2 linked regions of the Elephas maximus indicus genome follow. The protein of the gene in region 2 purifies or fractionates together with the protein of the main gene of each other region. This does not show direct contact. Links are inferred from orthologs where the notes say so. Each region holds a gene or a part of one and is shown on either strand. Other genes may lie near its edges.

Region 1 (7,819 bases), on a different chromosome or scaffold from region 2:
CTTTCCCCTCCCCTTGCAACTTCCCTTTGAATCAAAGTCACCCTCGCCATGTTTTAACACTATCTGGTATGATTCTTTCTTTGACACTTTTTAAGATTACACAAGCTTTGCAAAAACTTTGAAGGTTAGAAAATGTGTAACTTGGGGCACTTGCCTCATGGTTCTCTCTCCCAGGCCCCATCGAGATAACCGCTATTAGTTAAGTTTTGATGTTAATTATGCCAGCTTTCTCCTCTACATGTAAACGTTCACTATTTTGATAGAAATGGGTCAGGCCCTAGTCTGAGGCTGCACCTTGCAGTTTTCCAGAGAACAGTACAGTACAGACCCACCTCCTCCTTTTAAGCAACTGCATAGCGTCCCATTGTATGGACGAACCAGTTCATTTAACTCATCTACTGACAGCCATTTGAGCTGTTTCCAGCTTTGCCACACTGCAGAGACAATGCTGCGATTTACGTCCTCCATCTCTCTCGGGGACTGAGGATCCCTTTCTAATACTAAGCCTTTTTCTCTGGACCCCACATGACAGCAGTGGTGCTTTGGGAGCTAGGGGGGTTTGAAACCCTGGCCTGAGGGGAAGCTCTCATACCCTCAGTGTCACTGTGCTATGCCTCTGTGAGGTACTTTAATCCCAGCATCTACACTGGTCTACATCTGCAAAGCCATCTCGCATCTGTGGGTGGGCTGGAGACAAAGAGGCTCTGTGGGAGGACTCCAGGGCCCTGCCCAGCCAGGGGCAGCTTTGCCTACAGGGGAGGTGGAGGTGCTGGCGAAGTCTTCCAGCCTCCAGCTTCTAGGAGGCGGCCCTGTCGTCTCAGTGTCTGGAGGGCAGTATGCTGAAGGTCTTGAGTTCCAAACCCTTTCCTGCTCTTCTAGCCAAGGGACAGAAGGCAAGTCTTATCACCTCTGCCCCAGATACCCCAGATACCTCAGATTCCTCATCTACACAACGGGCGTGTGCCTCCCAGGGATATCGGGAAGGTTAAACCAGGCGATGCATACAAAGCACTAAACAGAGTGCCTGGCACAGAGTAACCAAAAAAACCCAAACCCACTGCTGTTGAGTAGATTCCAATTCATAGCCACCCTATAGGACCGAGTAGAACTGCCCCACAGAGTTTCCAAGGAGCGCCTGGCAGATTCAAACTGCCGACCTCTTGGGTAGCAGCTGTAGTACTTAACCACTATACCACCAGCGTTTCCAGCACAGAGTAAGCACTCAATCAATGCTAGCCATGGATATAATTATTCGACCATTCCTAGCCAAAGGAGCCCTAGTGGTGCAACCGGCCAGTGCTCAGTGGCTAACTGAAAGATTGGGGGTTCGAAAGCATGCAGTGGCTACCTGGGAGAAAGACCTGGCAATCTGCTCCTGTAAAGATTACAGCCTAGAAAATCCTATAGGACAGTTCTACTCAGTCACATGGGGCTGCTACGAGTTGGAATCAACTCATGGCACCTAACAACAACCATCCCCAGCCACCAAACTACTGAACAGATCACAGTCTTTCATGCCTCCAGGTCTTTGCACAAACTACATCCTCTGCTTGGAACACCATTTGTCACCTTGTGTAGGAACATTCTAAGCCAGTCTTCACCGACTACACTGTGTCTATATCTCAATCTGACTCCTAGGCCAGCCTGTGGATTCCTCCAGGGAAGGGGCTAGGTAGAGTCTGTGATCCCACAAGGCTTACTCCCACAGTGGCCTGAGATACCTCCATTATTCCCTTATAGACTCATTTTCTAGTGATTTTTCTGTGAGAGCCGTGAGTTCAGGGACCAAATCTGATGTGTGTCTCTCCCAGGCCCAGTACAAATGAGGTTCAGAAGGGATGGGGGGAAGAGGGACAAGGAAAGAGGGAACCTGGGAGGGCAGGCCTGGGACTGGGGTAACACACCCTTCTCTGAAAGTCACCAGAATCCACCATTCCCCAGGAGGCTGCACCCTGGGTGGGGGAGAGGGCCTGGGGCAGTGAGCTGGGGGCCCTAGGGGAACTGGTTTCCCTCTGCCGCCTCCCCCAGTGTGGGATGTAGGAACAAGTCCATCTGTCTCCTTCCCTCCATTCCACCCTTTACCCCATCTCACCTGAGCCTCCTGCACCTTCCCTGCCTGGGTCTCCAGAGGGTCAGAGGCTGGGGGAGGAGGGGAGCAGACATGGTTACAGCAGGGGGGGATGGTTAAGGGGGAATGAAGGGGTTAAGAGCGGGAGTAGGGGGACCCAGAAGACCCACCGACCTAGTCACACTGGGGTAAGGAGTAGAGAGGAGGGGATGAGGAAAAGCTGATCATATTAGAGTGGAGATTGCTGGGAAGGGAGGTGGCTAGTGAGGGACAGAGAGGCAGGGGAGGGACAGGTTTAGGGGGACAGAGAGGAGAAAGGAAGGGATACAGGGTGTGGAAGAAGAGTTAGAAAGAGTTAGAAAGGGCACAGCCGTGTGTGTGTGTTGAGGGGGTTAGGTTTCCAGGGTGGAGGGAAATTTAGGAAGAAAGGAGGTAGGAAGGGATACCCTGGCTGGGAGGCGGGTTTGGGAGAGGAGGTGCGGTGGCGGTGGTAGGTTTAGGAGAGGTACAGGAACTAGAGGGAAGAGATAGGAGGGAACACCGGGGCCGCCTAGCATCATACAGCTGCCCCTAACAACCAGGTACCCTTAGCAACCGGGATCGCGGCAACGAGGGTCCTTAGCAACGAGGGTCGAAAAACATGCGATTATCAGTAACACGGTAAAGTGACCCTTAAAACCTCGCGACCCAGAAACCCAACAACCTATCGACACAGAGCATTTAGCAATGGCCCTTCAAATTCCACTCCCCCACGCAGCCTCCACCTCCTGCCCCACCGCGCCCGCTCTCGGGCCCCAGGGCCTGGATCACGAAACCAGGCCCCGGTGCGGCCCGTCCCTCCCACCAGAGCCCTCGACTCACGGTCCGGCTCGGCCATGGGCGCGGGGCCGGGGCCCTCGGGGCTGTCACCGACTGCTCTGTCCCGTGACGGCACCGGAAGGGGGAGAGGCAAGGAAGAGGCAGAGAACTACAACTCCCAGAAGCAATAGCGGCCGCAGACAAGCGATTCTCTCAAAGATCGGAGCGCGTCCCTCCGGATAAGGAAGGTACACGAGAGCCGGACTACGAGTCCCAGAGGGCCGCGCGTCGGCAGCCATGTTGGTAAAGGGCGCCCGGAAAATGTGGGAACAGGTCGAGAGCTGTAGTCCATTCCGACACTCTGATTGGTCTTGGTGCGAGATTGGGCGGGACGTGAGCGATTTAGCCCACTCTTATTGGAGACAGTAGGGGGAGTGTTGGGGAATTCCCCGCAGGGCGGAAGCTCCAGAGGTCCGGGCACAGCCCAGAGGCAGGCAGGCTGGCGGAGGGCGGCCTCTGGGGTCCCGGAGGCAGAGGGGGGCATGGCCGGGGTCGCGTGCTTGGGGAAAGCCGCAGATGCGGATGAGTGGTGCGACAGCGGCCTGGGCTCGTTGGGTCCGGACGCAGCGGTCCCCGGAGGACCGGGGCTGGGCGCAGAGCTGGGCCCGGGGCTTTCGTGGGTGCCCCTCGTCTTCGGCTACGTCACTGAGGATGGGGACACGTGAGTGAACCTTAGACTCCCGAACCGGCCCCAAGGATCCAACCTCGGATAAGATCAGCTTTACCTGATACCCCAGTGGTCTGATCCGGCTTTCTAACCTTTACTCCTAAATCTGACCTCTGATCCTTGACTTCCTGACGTCTAACTCCCAAATCCTAATCTTTAATAAATCAATCTATCCAACTTTGATCTTAACCATATATGTGTGTGTATATATATATATATGTAAATTTTTTTTTTAAACCCAATCATTTTTGACTCTCCTTTCTTGAACTCTTGATTCTTAGTTCCTGGAATCCACATCCCTAACCCACTGATCCCAAAACCCAATTTGACCTCATGTGGCCCGAGACCTCTAACCTCCTGACCTCTAACCTCCAGACATGGTCTTTAATCCTTAATTCATGATTTGTAAGCCTAGACTTTGATTTCTGACATTATAGTTGGCCCCTGACTCTAAGGTCCTGCCTCTGGAGCAGTAATTTTCAAATCTTTCATTCAGAGAGAGATTGTAAGCTCCATGAGAGCAGGGATTCATCCATTCAACAAATATTTATTGAAAACTACCATGTTTTGAAGCCCTGGTTGCATAGTGGTTAAGAACTTGGCTGCTAACCAAAAGGTCAGCAGTTTGACTCCACCAGCCGCTCCTTGAAAACCCTATGGGGGCAATTCTACTCTATCCCATAGGGTCACTATGAGTTGGAATTGACTGGATGGTAGTGGGTTTTTTTTTTTTTTTTTGGTACCATGTGCCAGGCCCTGTTTTAGATGCCAGTGATAAGGTTATGAAGAAAACAGACAAAAAGTTATGTCCTTATGGAGCATACATTCTAGGTGGGAGAGCTAGACAGACAGAAGGTCAGACAGAAAGAAAGACAGGAAGGAAGGAAATAAAAACATAGTCTATCAGAAGATAGCAAGTGTTACGGAGAAATAGCAGGAAAATGAGACAAATAGGTATCTGGAAAGAAGAGAATTGCAGGCAGAAGGAATAGCAGTCATACAGGCCTGGGGTCTTTTGTCAGTTTTGTTTATTGCTGTACCCCAGTGACTTGGACAGTGCCAGACCCGTAGTAACCAACGAGTTGCTGTGAAGTTGGTGCTGTCTCATGACAACACCACGTGTATCAAAGCAGAACTGTGTGCCACAGGGTTTTCGATGGCTGATTTTTTGGAAGTAGATCTCCAGGCCTTTCTCCCTAGGTGCTTCTAGGTGGATTCAAACCTCTAGCTTTTCGGTTAGCAGCCAAGGATGTTAACCATGTTAACCATTTGTACCACCCACCATCTCCTAGATCCATACCAACCAGTTGCCTTCAAGTCCGTTCCAACTCACGGCAACCCCATGTGTGTCGGTAGAACTGTGTTCCACAGTATTTTCAGTGGCTGTTTTTTTTGGTTTTTTAGAAGTAGATCTCCAGGACTCTCTTTTCCTTGGCAGTTAATAAACATTGGCCTTCTCAAAGAACCAGGTTGTTTTTTCATTAATTTTCCCTGTTGTTTTTCTGCTTTCTATTTCATTGATTTCTGTTCTGATCTTAATTATTTCCTTTCTTCTTACTTTAGTTTTAATTTATTCTTCTTTTCCTAACTTTCTAAGATAGGAGCTGAGCTTATTGACTTGAGCCTTTTCCCTTTTATCTGATACAGGCGTATAGCTGTATAAATTTTCCCCTTACTACTGCTTTAGTGGAAACCCTGGTGGTGTAGTGGTTAAGTGCTGCGACTGCTAACCAAAGGGTTGGCGGTTCGAATCCGCCAGGCATTCCTTGGACGCTTTATGGGGCAGCTCTACTCTGTCCTGTAGGTTCGCTGTGAGTTGGAATCGACTCGACGGCAGTGGGTTTGGTTTTGGTTTGGTACTGCTTTAGCAATATCTCACAAATTCTGATGTGTTGTGTTTTCATTTTCATTTAATTCAATATGCTTTCTATTTCTCTTTTGATTTCTTATTTGACCCTTGGGTTATTTAAAAGTATGTTGTTTAGCTTCCAAATATTTGGAAGGTTTTCCACGCTTCTTTCTGTTAACAGATTTTTTAATTTGATTTCATGTGGCCAGAAAACATACTTAGTATGGTTTGAATCCTTTTGAATTTATTGAGACTTGTTTTATGGCCCAGAATATGGTCTGTCTCGGTAAATGTTACATGTGTGCTTGAGAAGGATGTGCGTTATGCCATTGTTGCAAGGAGCGTTTTCCAAAGGTCAGTTGGGTCAAGTTGGTGTATAGTGTTTTCTAGTTTTGCTGATTTTCTGTCTACTTGTTATACCAATTATTGAGAGGGGTGTATTGAAATCTCCAACTGTAATTGGGGATTTGTCTGTTTTTCCTTGTAATCCTGTTGGTTTTTGCTTTGTGTATTTTGAAGCTCTGATATTAACGGCTCTACTCTGATAATAAAATACTCCAGCTTTCTTGTGACCAGCGTTAGCATGGTATATCTTTTCCATCTTTTAATTTTTAACTTATTTGTGTCTTTATATTTAAAGGGCATTAAAAAAAATTTTTTTTATTGTGCTTTAAGTGAAAGTTTACATATCAAGTCAGTCTCTCACACAAAAACTTATATACACCTTGCTACATACTCCCTATTGCTCTCCCCCTAATGAAACAACCCACTCCCTCCCTCCACTCTCTCTTTTCGTTCCATTTCGCCAGCATCTAACCCCCTCCACCCTCTCATCTCCCCTCCAGGGAGGCGATGCCAGCATAGCCTCAAGTGTCCACCTGATCCAAGAAGCTCACTCCTCACCAGCATCCCTCTCCAACCCATTGTCCAGTCCAATCCATGTCTGAAGATTTGGCTTTAGAAATGGTTCCTGCCCTGGGCTAACAGAAGGTCCGGGGGCCATGACCACCGGGGTCCTTCTAGTCTCAGTCAGACCATTAAGTCTGGTCTTTTTACGAGAATTTGGGGTCTGCATCTTACTGCCCTGCTGATCCCTCAGGGGTTCTCTGTTGTGTTCCCTGTCAGGGCAGTCATCGGTTGTAGCTGGGCACCATCTAGCTCTTCTGGTCTCAGGCTGATGTAGTCTCTGGTTTATGTGGCCCTTCCTGTCTCTTGGGCTCGTAATTACCTTATGTCCTTGGTGTTCTTCATTCTCCTTTGATCCAGGTGAGTTGAGACTAATTGATGCATCTTAGATGGCCGCTTGCTAGTGTTGAAGACCCCATACGCCTCTCTCCAAGGTGGGATGCAGAATGTTTTCTTAATAGATTTTATTATGCCAATTGACTTAGATGTCCCCTGAAACCATGGTCCCCAAACCCCTGCCTCTGCCATGCTGGCCTTCGAAGCATTTAGTTTATTCCAGAAACTTCCTTGCTTTTCATTTAGTCCAGTTGTGCTGACCTCGCCTACATTGTGAAAAGGGCATTTCTTGTAGACAGCATATAGATGGGTTTTGCTTTTTTATTCAATCTGAAAATCTCTGCCTTTAAGTGGGGTTGTTTAGACTGTTTAGTGTAATTATTGATATGGTTACATTTAAATTTATCATTTTGCTATTAGTTTTCTACTTGTCCTATCTGTTCTTTGTTTCCTTTTTCCTGCCTCCTTTTGAAATAATTGAGTATTTTTTGTAATTCTACTTTCTTTCTCTCATTTCTTGGCTTATTAGCTATAACTCTTTGTTTTGTTACTTAAGTGGTTGATTTAAGGCAGGGGTTGCCATACTATGGCCTGTAGGCAAAATCTGGTCAGCTGTCTGATTTTGTATGGCTATAAGCTAAGAATGGGTTTTATACATTTAAATGGTTAAAAAAAAAAAAAATCCAAACAAGAATAATATTTCATGACAAGTGAAAATTGTATGAAATTCAAGTTTCAGTGCCCATAAATAAAGTTTTATTGGAGCACAACCACCCTCGTTCGTTTACGCACTGTCTATGGCTGCTTTTGGATCGTAACAGCAGAGTTGAATAGTTAGGGCACAGACCATACAGCCTGGAAAGCCTAAAATATTTGGCCCGTTACAGAGAAAGTTTACTGAACCTTGTTTTAGGGCTTTTAGTATATAACTTTAAATTATGGCCTACTTCAAGTGATATTATGCCACTTCACATATAGTAAAAAAACCATTTATGTAATACATACATGTTGCATCTAGTCGTTTCCGACTCACGGAGACCCTGTGTGCGTCAGAGTGGAACTGTACCCCATAGAATTTTCAATGGCTGACTCCTTAGAAGTAGATCACGGGGCCTTTCTTCTGAAGTGGCTCTGA
Region 2 (7,559 bases):
CTGGACATGTATTTTCCTTAATACTTACTAGTTCTTGCTCTGATAACAAAATAAAATGAAATAAAATTATAATCGTATCTTTTAAAAAGGGACTTAATGTCATTTAAGAGGCAAAACTAAAAATAATCCCAAAACATTGCCTTTCTCTATCTATAAAGACAAGCAAGCTGAAGTACGTTGTATCCATTCCGAAGGACGTAAAAATGGACAACGTACTACAAAAAAAGTTTGCTTCTTTTTAAATGCCAAATGCTTTATACTAAATAATTCAAGCGGTACTGACAGGGGAGCAAGTAAGTACTTAAATTCAAATATTAAGTAAAATTGGATTTTGCAGACAATCCCAATTTTGTGATTTCAAATATGTGCAGAGCTTAAAGGAGGCACTTTCCTTTTTCGGAACACTTGGTCAAACTGCATATAATGCCTAGTAATAACGTTTACGGTAAGTGATAACTTTTACTCCAAAACATATTTTGGAAAAAATAAACCCTGGCTGCTTCTCCAGGAACTTCAGCATGATGTTCGCAACGTGACCTTTTTGACACACATTAACGACAGAGATGACAGTTATATCGAGCATGCTGAACGTTACAACTGCGCAGCAAAGGCCGATTCTTATTATGCTGTTGAGTCAAGCGAAGAAAAGGGAGGAGGGAGTTTGATTCTTTACATCAAACCGCCGGCTGTGACAAGCAGAAACTGCCAGCTTCCTGAGGCCAAACAGCGAATGGACCAAAGGAAAGCCACCTCAGGGCCGGTCCCCCGGTGGACCTCGAGGCCTGCTCCACCTCGGGGTAGGGATACATCGGCCTGCCCCGTGATTCTTTCTTTTTCTCTTTCTCCCCGAATAGCGAAAAGGAGCCGGAGACACAGTCATCTACAGCTCCCCGCCAGCCGGAAGGTCCCGCGCGTTCCACTGGTGCGCACCTCCGCTCCGACTCCCTCAAAACGCCGTCTGAAAGGGAGCCCTGCTTCGCCGCTCACTTGCACCTCCGCGCTCGATAAGCACTGAGGAGGCAAGAGAGAAGACAAACGCATCCCCAGCCCCGGTCACTTGGGGCGCGGCCAAATCTGGGAGCACTTCCCTGCGCGGAAAGCGCCGGCCCCGCCGCCAGCGCGCCGACCGCGCGGCCCGGACGCGCTGGCCCTTTAAAGGCGCCGCTTCCTGCGCCCGCGGCCCCTCCCTCGCCGCCAGCTCCCGCCCCCGCCCCGCCGAGGGTCACTCCTGGCGCTCAGCTCGCCCGCGCGGCCCGGCGCCGGCGCTCGGCTGGCGGTGGCGGCCCCTCCGCACGTGTCGGGGGCGCTGCCTCGGGCTCGGCGCGCCCGGCCCCTCGCACGCCAGGCCACTTCGGATAAAATCAAAACAAAGCAAAGTGCGCACCGGCCGCCGGGAGCTGCGCGGCGGCCCCGCACCGGCTCGGCACCGGCTCCGGCCGGCTCGCGCCCTCCCTGCCCCCTCCACCTGCGGTCCGGGTTCCGGCGGCGGGGCCCCGCGCCCCGCGCCCCTCGCAGCGCCTCCCCCGCTGAGCGCGGCGGAAACGGCTGGGGGACGCGCCCCGCTGGGGCGGAGGAGTCGCCCTCACCCCGAGCTCCGCGAGGGACGGGAGCCACGAGCAGGAGCCCACGCCGGCCGTGGGGGCGCGGGACCAAGGGGAGCTTCCTCTCCTTTTCCTGGCGAACTTTTCCACTTGGGCTGACCTCCACTTCTCGGCGTACTTTCTTCACAGCCTCAGTCCCGAAACAGGCCCCTTCCCTGTCCCTTTCCATCTTTCACTCACACGCGCGCACACACACCTCTAACCGGTCCCCGGACCGCTTCTGGTCCTCGGCAGACCCACCGCCCGCCTCGGCCACTTCTCCTTGCTCTCGCCTGCACGCGCCGCCCTCGTGCCCCGCACCTTCAGGGAGGGCGAACCTGCACAGGTGCCCCCTCGGCTGCCCACCGCGACCCGGACGGATGCCGGAGCCCCCGCGGCCGCCTGGCCCGCTCACCTTCCAGCCCGCGGAGCTGTTGCTGTCGCCCTTATCCTTGAAGTAGGGCACGCTCTTGACCATCCACTCGTAGATCTGCGACAGCGTAAGCCGCTTCTCCGCCGAGCTCTCGATGGCCTTGGTGATGAGATCGGCGTAGGACAGGTTGCCCCACGCGTTGCGGCGGGACGAGCTGCTCTTGCGCGGCTGCCCCGCGAGCGGCCCGGCAGTGGCGGGGGGCACGGGCGGGTGCTGCGGCAGCGGCCCGGGCGGCGGTGGCTGCGGCGGCGCCGGGTGCAGGCAGGTCGCCTCCGGACCCTGGAAGTCCCCACACAGCCCCCCGGTGGCGGCAGCTGCGACCGCCGCCACCGCCGCCGCAGCCGCCGCCGCCGCGGCCGCCGCCACGGAGCCGGGCGCCGGCGGGAAGTCATCGTTCTCCTCCAGCAGGCTCAGGTTGTTCATGAAGTCGGCGCTGACAGCGGCCGCCGAGCCCGGGGGCAGGCCCGCCGCGGGGTCGAGACTGGCGGCCGCGCCGCCCGACGGCGCCGGGCTGGAGGTGGCCGAGTTGGACTGGCTGAACTCGGGCCTGGGCAGCGGCCAGGTGCACGAGCGCGGCCGCGGCAGCGGCTCGAAGTCCGGGTCGATCTCCACCACCTGGGGCGCTTCGGCCATGGTGACCCCCGCCCCTCCCCCGCCGCTGGAGCGCAAAGAAGGGGAGAGCGCAGCACCGGCTGGCGGCGGGAGAGGGGAGCCGAGAGCCGGTCCGAGATTTGGGGGCGAGGTCGCTGCGGGAGCCGACGGAAACCGGGAGGCAGGAGCTCGAAGGGGAAGGAAGCGCGAGCCTAGAACTTAACTTCGCGGGTCCATCAAGCACGCCGGGCTTCTCTGGGTCCGCTGCGCGACGGGACGGCGGGCCGGAGCCACGGGGCAGCGCCGGCGCCCGCTGACAGGGCCCGCGGACGGAAGCACGGCCGGACGGACGTCGCGGGCAGCTCGCTCACTCTCGCCGGCGGCACGACGGCGGCGCTGCTGCCTGTTGAATGTGGCGGCGGCGGCGGCAGCAACTACGCGGCCGCCCGACTTACGGGATCTGCCACGGCCTCCCGCCCGCGGCCGCGCGCGCGCCGGCCCGCCCCTGAGTGGCAGCCGGCGCGGCCAATGGGCATGCGGCGGCGCCCGTGGGCCGCCAGTGAGCGCCGGCCTGGGCGGGGACCGGTTTCCACGGGGAGGTGGCTGCAGATTGGTGGGGGGCAGTGGGCTGTTTTTCTCTTTCACACACTGACTTTTTTTTTTGGATCTGTTATTATTTTCTGGTAGTTCTCGAGTGTGTCTGCAAGTCTCTCGCCCTCTCGGTGTTCTGATTCCTAGGAGGCACACTGGCGTGGAGGCGGCGGCCACACTTTGTTTACTACGGAAAGCAAAGCCGAGTACTCGGCGGTCCCGAGCGGGGCGACTGCCCGCTCCGCCCGAGCTCCGTGCCGGACCCGGACCGGCGAGTGGGCGGACGGGCGGCGGGCCGGGGCGCGGGCTGTGAGGGCGGAGGCGGCCTCGCAAAATTCTGCTCGCTCGCCCCCTCTCGACTCCACCCACGGTTTCTTTGCAGAGCGAGGTGGGGAAGGCAGCGGGGTTTGTTTTTGTTCCACGTTTTCTTCCCGGCGATCTGTCAAGTCCTTGGGCCCCCGCGCGGCAGGCACACGCCCCGGGCGCTGGCCCTGGCTGCCAGTCCGCGCCGAGAGCGCCCTCGCCGACGCCTCCGCGCGGGGACCACCTGTGCGCAGCCCGGAGCCGAGCCTCCGCGCCCGCCCTGGGCGTAGCCGGGGGTCAGTCGCCCAGCCCACAGCCACCGGCCTAGCCCACTCCATTCTTGACCCAAACAGCTAGAAATGACGGAAAGATTCGTATTCTGTATGGAAGCACAGTTCCATCTAGGAACCTCTTCCCCTGGATGGGAACCTCAGACTCTGCCCACCCTGTTAAGGGGAGAGGGGCGAAAGAGGTCAAGGGGAACAGTCAGCAAGAACCTTGTCACTAGATCACTTGCCCCCAAATAAGTTTAATTGTTTATTTATTTATTCTGTTTAGAATAGAAAGGATGCAGTATTGAGGAGTGAAAATGCAAGAGACGATAGGACCCAAGCCTTGGGCACAGCCCTGCTCAAGTTCCTTTAGGCTGCTAACCGCATGCGTCAGTCAGCCCCACGCCCACGGCCCTACCTTCCCCCATTTGGGCTCCAGGTCCAGGACGTCCTGTCGAGGATCAGTGGGGCCAAAGGTAGGAAGACAATGGCCCTTGTCTCAGGGAGCAGGAGAAACAGTTTTCAAGTTTTGTTTTTTGTTGTTGTTTTTTTAAGAAGGATGTGGAAACCATTGCCGTCAAGTCGATTCCGACTCATAGCGACCCTATAGGACAGAGTAGTTTCCAAGGAACGCCTGGTGGACTTTTAGAAGGATGGGATCATTTAGGATGGAAGATAGCAGGGTTTTTAATGTCTTGTCCAAAATGATAGCTCCCAAGTTCTAAAACAATCTCATCTCTTTCTTACAGGCAATACGTCATTTGGAAAAGTTGCATCCAAAAAAAATTAGGCCTATTTTACAAAAGTTTTAAAAATTTAGAGGGATATAAATAACATTTATTCCTTCTTTTCCATTGTCACTATCATCCCCTTAGTTCAAAACCTTATTTCTTCCTAATCCATTTATCACAACAGCTTCCTACTGATATTGGGGACGGGTAGGGTGAGGGTGAAAGGGTTGGATTGGAGATAGAAGTTGGTCATCACCCTCGTCTTTTGGTCTCTTTACGTTTTACTATCAAATTTGGACAGTTTGGGGCTCCCCTGCCAGCCACTAGGGGACCTCAGCAACCCAGATGATAAGCTCAGCCAAAGGCTGCAGTGTAGAGCCCTTAGTACCCCCTAACCCCCGGCCTCCCACCGCGGGCGCCGGGGCGGGGGAGGGGCCTTTACTGTCTGCAGAGACAGCCGTATTCAAACCATAACCTACTAGTCAATGGTGCCCTAGTGAATCATTCTTGGCAAAGGAAGTCAGCTGCAAATTTGGCCTTGCCTTCATTTTAATTCCGGTTTTCCCAGGCCTCAGTATTTGGTTAAGAGAGTTTTCCTGCAGACTTCCCCCTGATCCTTGAAATCTGCTCTGCTATCTTGCCTAATTTTTTTTCTTTAAGTGTCGGTCTGTTTTCGTTTGCTCTTTAAAAACAAAAAGAAAAAAAAACTTGGAGCAGGCACAGAGAACCTACAATGCCCATCTCCCTCACACATAATTCAAACAAATATTTTAACTATATTATAAAAATGTTCATTCTTTTTATAACTGGCCTACCATTCCCATATTGGTGAACATCTGGTTTGTTTCCAGTCTATGGCTGTTACTAACAGCTCCATAACAAGTAGCCTTGTACAACTGTCATTTTGCATCTGTGCAAGTATTACCAGGAGGAATTTCCAGAAATGGGATCACTGGGTCAGCAGGTATAAGCATTTGTAATTTTGAGAGACACTGCCAAATTGCTGTCCGTAAGGGTTGTATCAAGCTAAATTTTCTTTTCAGATAGAGCCACAGATCATTAAAGTTTAAAGTAAACTTGGAAATCATCTTGCAGATTCTTTAATGTATAATGGGGATACTGAGGCACAGAGAGTCTAAACCATGTGCCAAAGAGCACACACTGAGAGTGGTGTCAGAGCTGGAGCTTCGGTTTCTTACTTTCCTGCAATGATCTTCTCGATACACAAGATGTACTCTTCCAACGTCAGGGGATCTTTTTTGGGGGGGGCGGGCGGGGAGGTTAATAGCAATAATGCATGCTCCTTGTAGCTAATTTGGAAAAATCCATAAGGGTATAAAGAAAATTATAAAGATCCTAGAATCCCAACATACAGATAGATAACTATTGTAATTATCTGGTTTGTTTCCCATTAGTCCCACAGAATCTCAGTCATTTTAGTTAGATGACTCCATTGAACTGAATGAAGGTTTGATGTAAAAGATTAAGCAAGCAAACAAAGATAATAGTAAGGTAATCAAAGAAAGGAGGTTACAAAAGAGTGGTTTTGTTTTTTAAGTCAAAATGTAAATGTCCTCTCTCTGAAGGATACCAAAGTATTTAAGTTGGCATTTAATTCTGCTTTGAAGTCTTTTTCTAACGATTATTATGTATTAGTTGGTGCATGTGGCCAAACTGGGAAAAAAATATTTCCTGCCAAATAAGGACAATTAAAATCAAGAAGAAGCTTAACCTCACAAACAAATGCGATGTTCTTTTTTATGCTGGGTAAGGATTGCACCATCGTCAACAGGAAGAGCACGACACCTGCCTTTGATCAATTCCTGGGCAGAAACTTCTGCACGTACCCCTGCCACCAATGCGCCATCTCTGCTTTAAATTCTTATTTGTCAAAACAGGTACTTTAAGTCCAGCTTAACGACTAAGTGAAAACTCGAATGCTTACTTCTCAGTTGTGGAACTTATCTCCATGCCTCACATTTCCTTTCCCCAACAACTGTCCATTTCCAGTATTTTGTCTGAATTATTAGGAGGTACTGCCTTCAACTTAAAGCAGTCTTTCTTCAGTGTGCCCATAGAAAGTAATAATAGGAACAAGCACAGCCTCTATCCTGAAACCAGTGACCTGCAGGCTGGCACATTAACTGGTAGTTGTAGTAGTACTGGAAGTAGTCATTCATTTTACTTGAGGAATAATTTCCTCTGGATTTTGGATACATTCAACAAATGAGCGCCTACTACATGCCAGGCACTGTGCGTCTTACAGTCTGTTGTTCTGATGGAAAGTTCCTTGAGGTCATAAATGGTTTATTTTCTTTTCCTTGATATGATATTTGATGTCAGTGTTAAGAATATATAGCTCTTTAATAATCAACACTACATATTGACAATATTTAATTGTCACACAAAAAATGTTTGATGAATATAAGGAATGCTAAAGCATAAAAGTGCAGCCTTGGTGGCATAGTGGTTAAGAGCTTGGCTGCTAACCCAAAGGCTGGAAGTTCGAATCCACCAGCCACCCCTTGGAAACCCTGTGGTGCAGTTCTACGCTGTCCTATGAGGTTGCTATGAGTCAGAATCCACTCGACGGCAATGGGATTTTTGGTAAGGCATAAAAAATTGAAACACAACCATAGTCACCATTTTGAAGAAAAATAACGAGATGGCCAACATTAGGGCAATGTTTAAGTAAAGAACGTCATGTCTGTAAGGTAGGATTTTATGCAGCCATTTAAAATAAAGTTGTTGACAAAGTTTGTAATGACATTCAGGAAATGCTGGTGATACAATGTTTAAAAGATTGGAAGGTACTACTGTCAGCTAAAAAATGTTAGTAATGATTGGATCTGGGTAAATGGATTTCATCTATGGAACTCTGGTGGTGCAGTGGTTAAAGCGATCAGCTGCTAACCAGAAGGTTGGAGGATTGAAACCACTGGCAGCTCCGAGGGAAAAAGATGTGGCAGTCTGCTTCAGTAGAGATTCATAGCCTTGGAAGCCCTATGGGGTCACCACGAATCAGAATCGACTCTAAGGCAGTAGGTGAGTTTGGATT

Evidence for each region.
Region 1: the proteins of FOXO1 (region 2) and SIRT2 purify together in Homo sapiens (affinity purification with western blotting; 3 studies listed by BioGRID). This does not show direct contact. The link is inferred for Elephas maximus indicus from reciprocal best matches to the Homo sapiens genes FOXO1 and SIRT2.

What each region holds. Positions count from the first base shown.
Region 1 is NC_064829.1:112,632,128-112,639,946, reverse strand, and holds the start of SIRT2 (NAD-dependent protein deacetylase sirtuin-2), read right to left. Parts: upstream 3,015-7,819; 5' UTR 2,946-3,014; coding exon 2,930-2,945; intron 2,140-2,929; coding exon 2,093-2,139; intron 1-2,092. Other genes in the region: NFKBIB (NF-kappa-B inhibitor beta), read left to right, coding at 3,409-3,587. UniProt on the Homo sapiens protein: NAD-dependent protein deacetylase, which deacetylates internal lysines on histone and alpha-tubulin as well as many other proteins such as key transcription factors.
Region 2 is NC_064832.1:24,269,095-24,276,653, forward strand, and holds the start of FOXO1 (forkhead box protein O1), read right to left. Parts: upstream 3,076-7,559; 5' UTR 2,647-3,075; coding exon 1,996-2,646; intron 1-1,995. UniProt on the Homo sapiens protein: Transcription factor that is the main target of insulin signaling and regulates metabolic homeostasis in response to oxidative stress.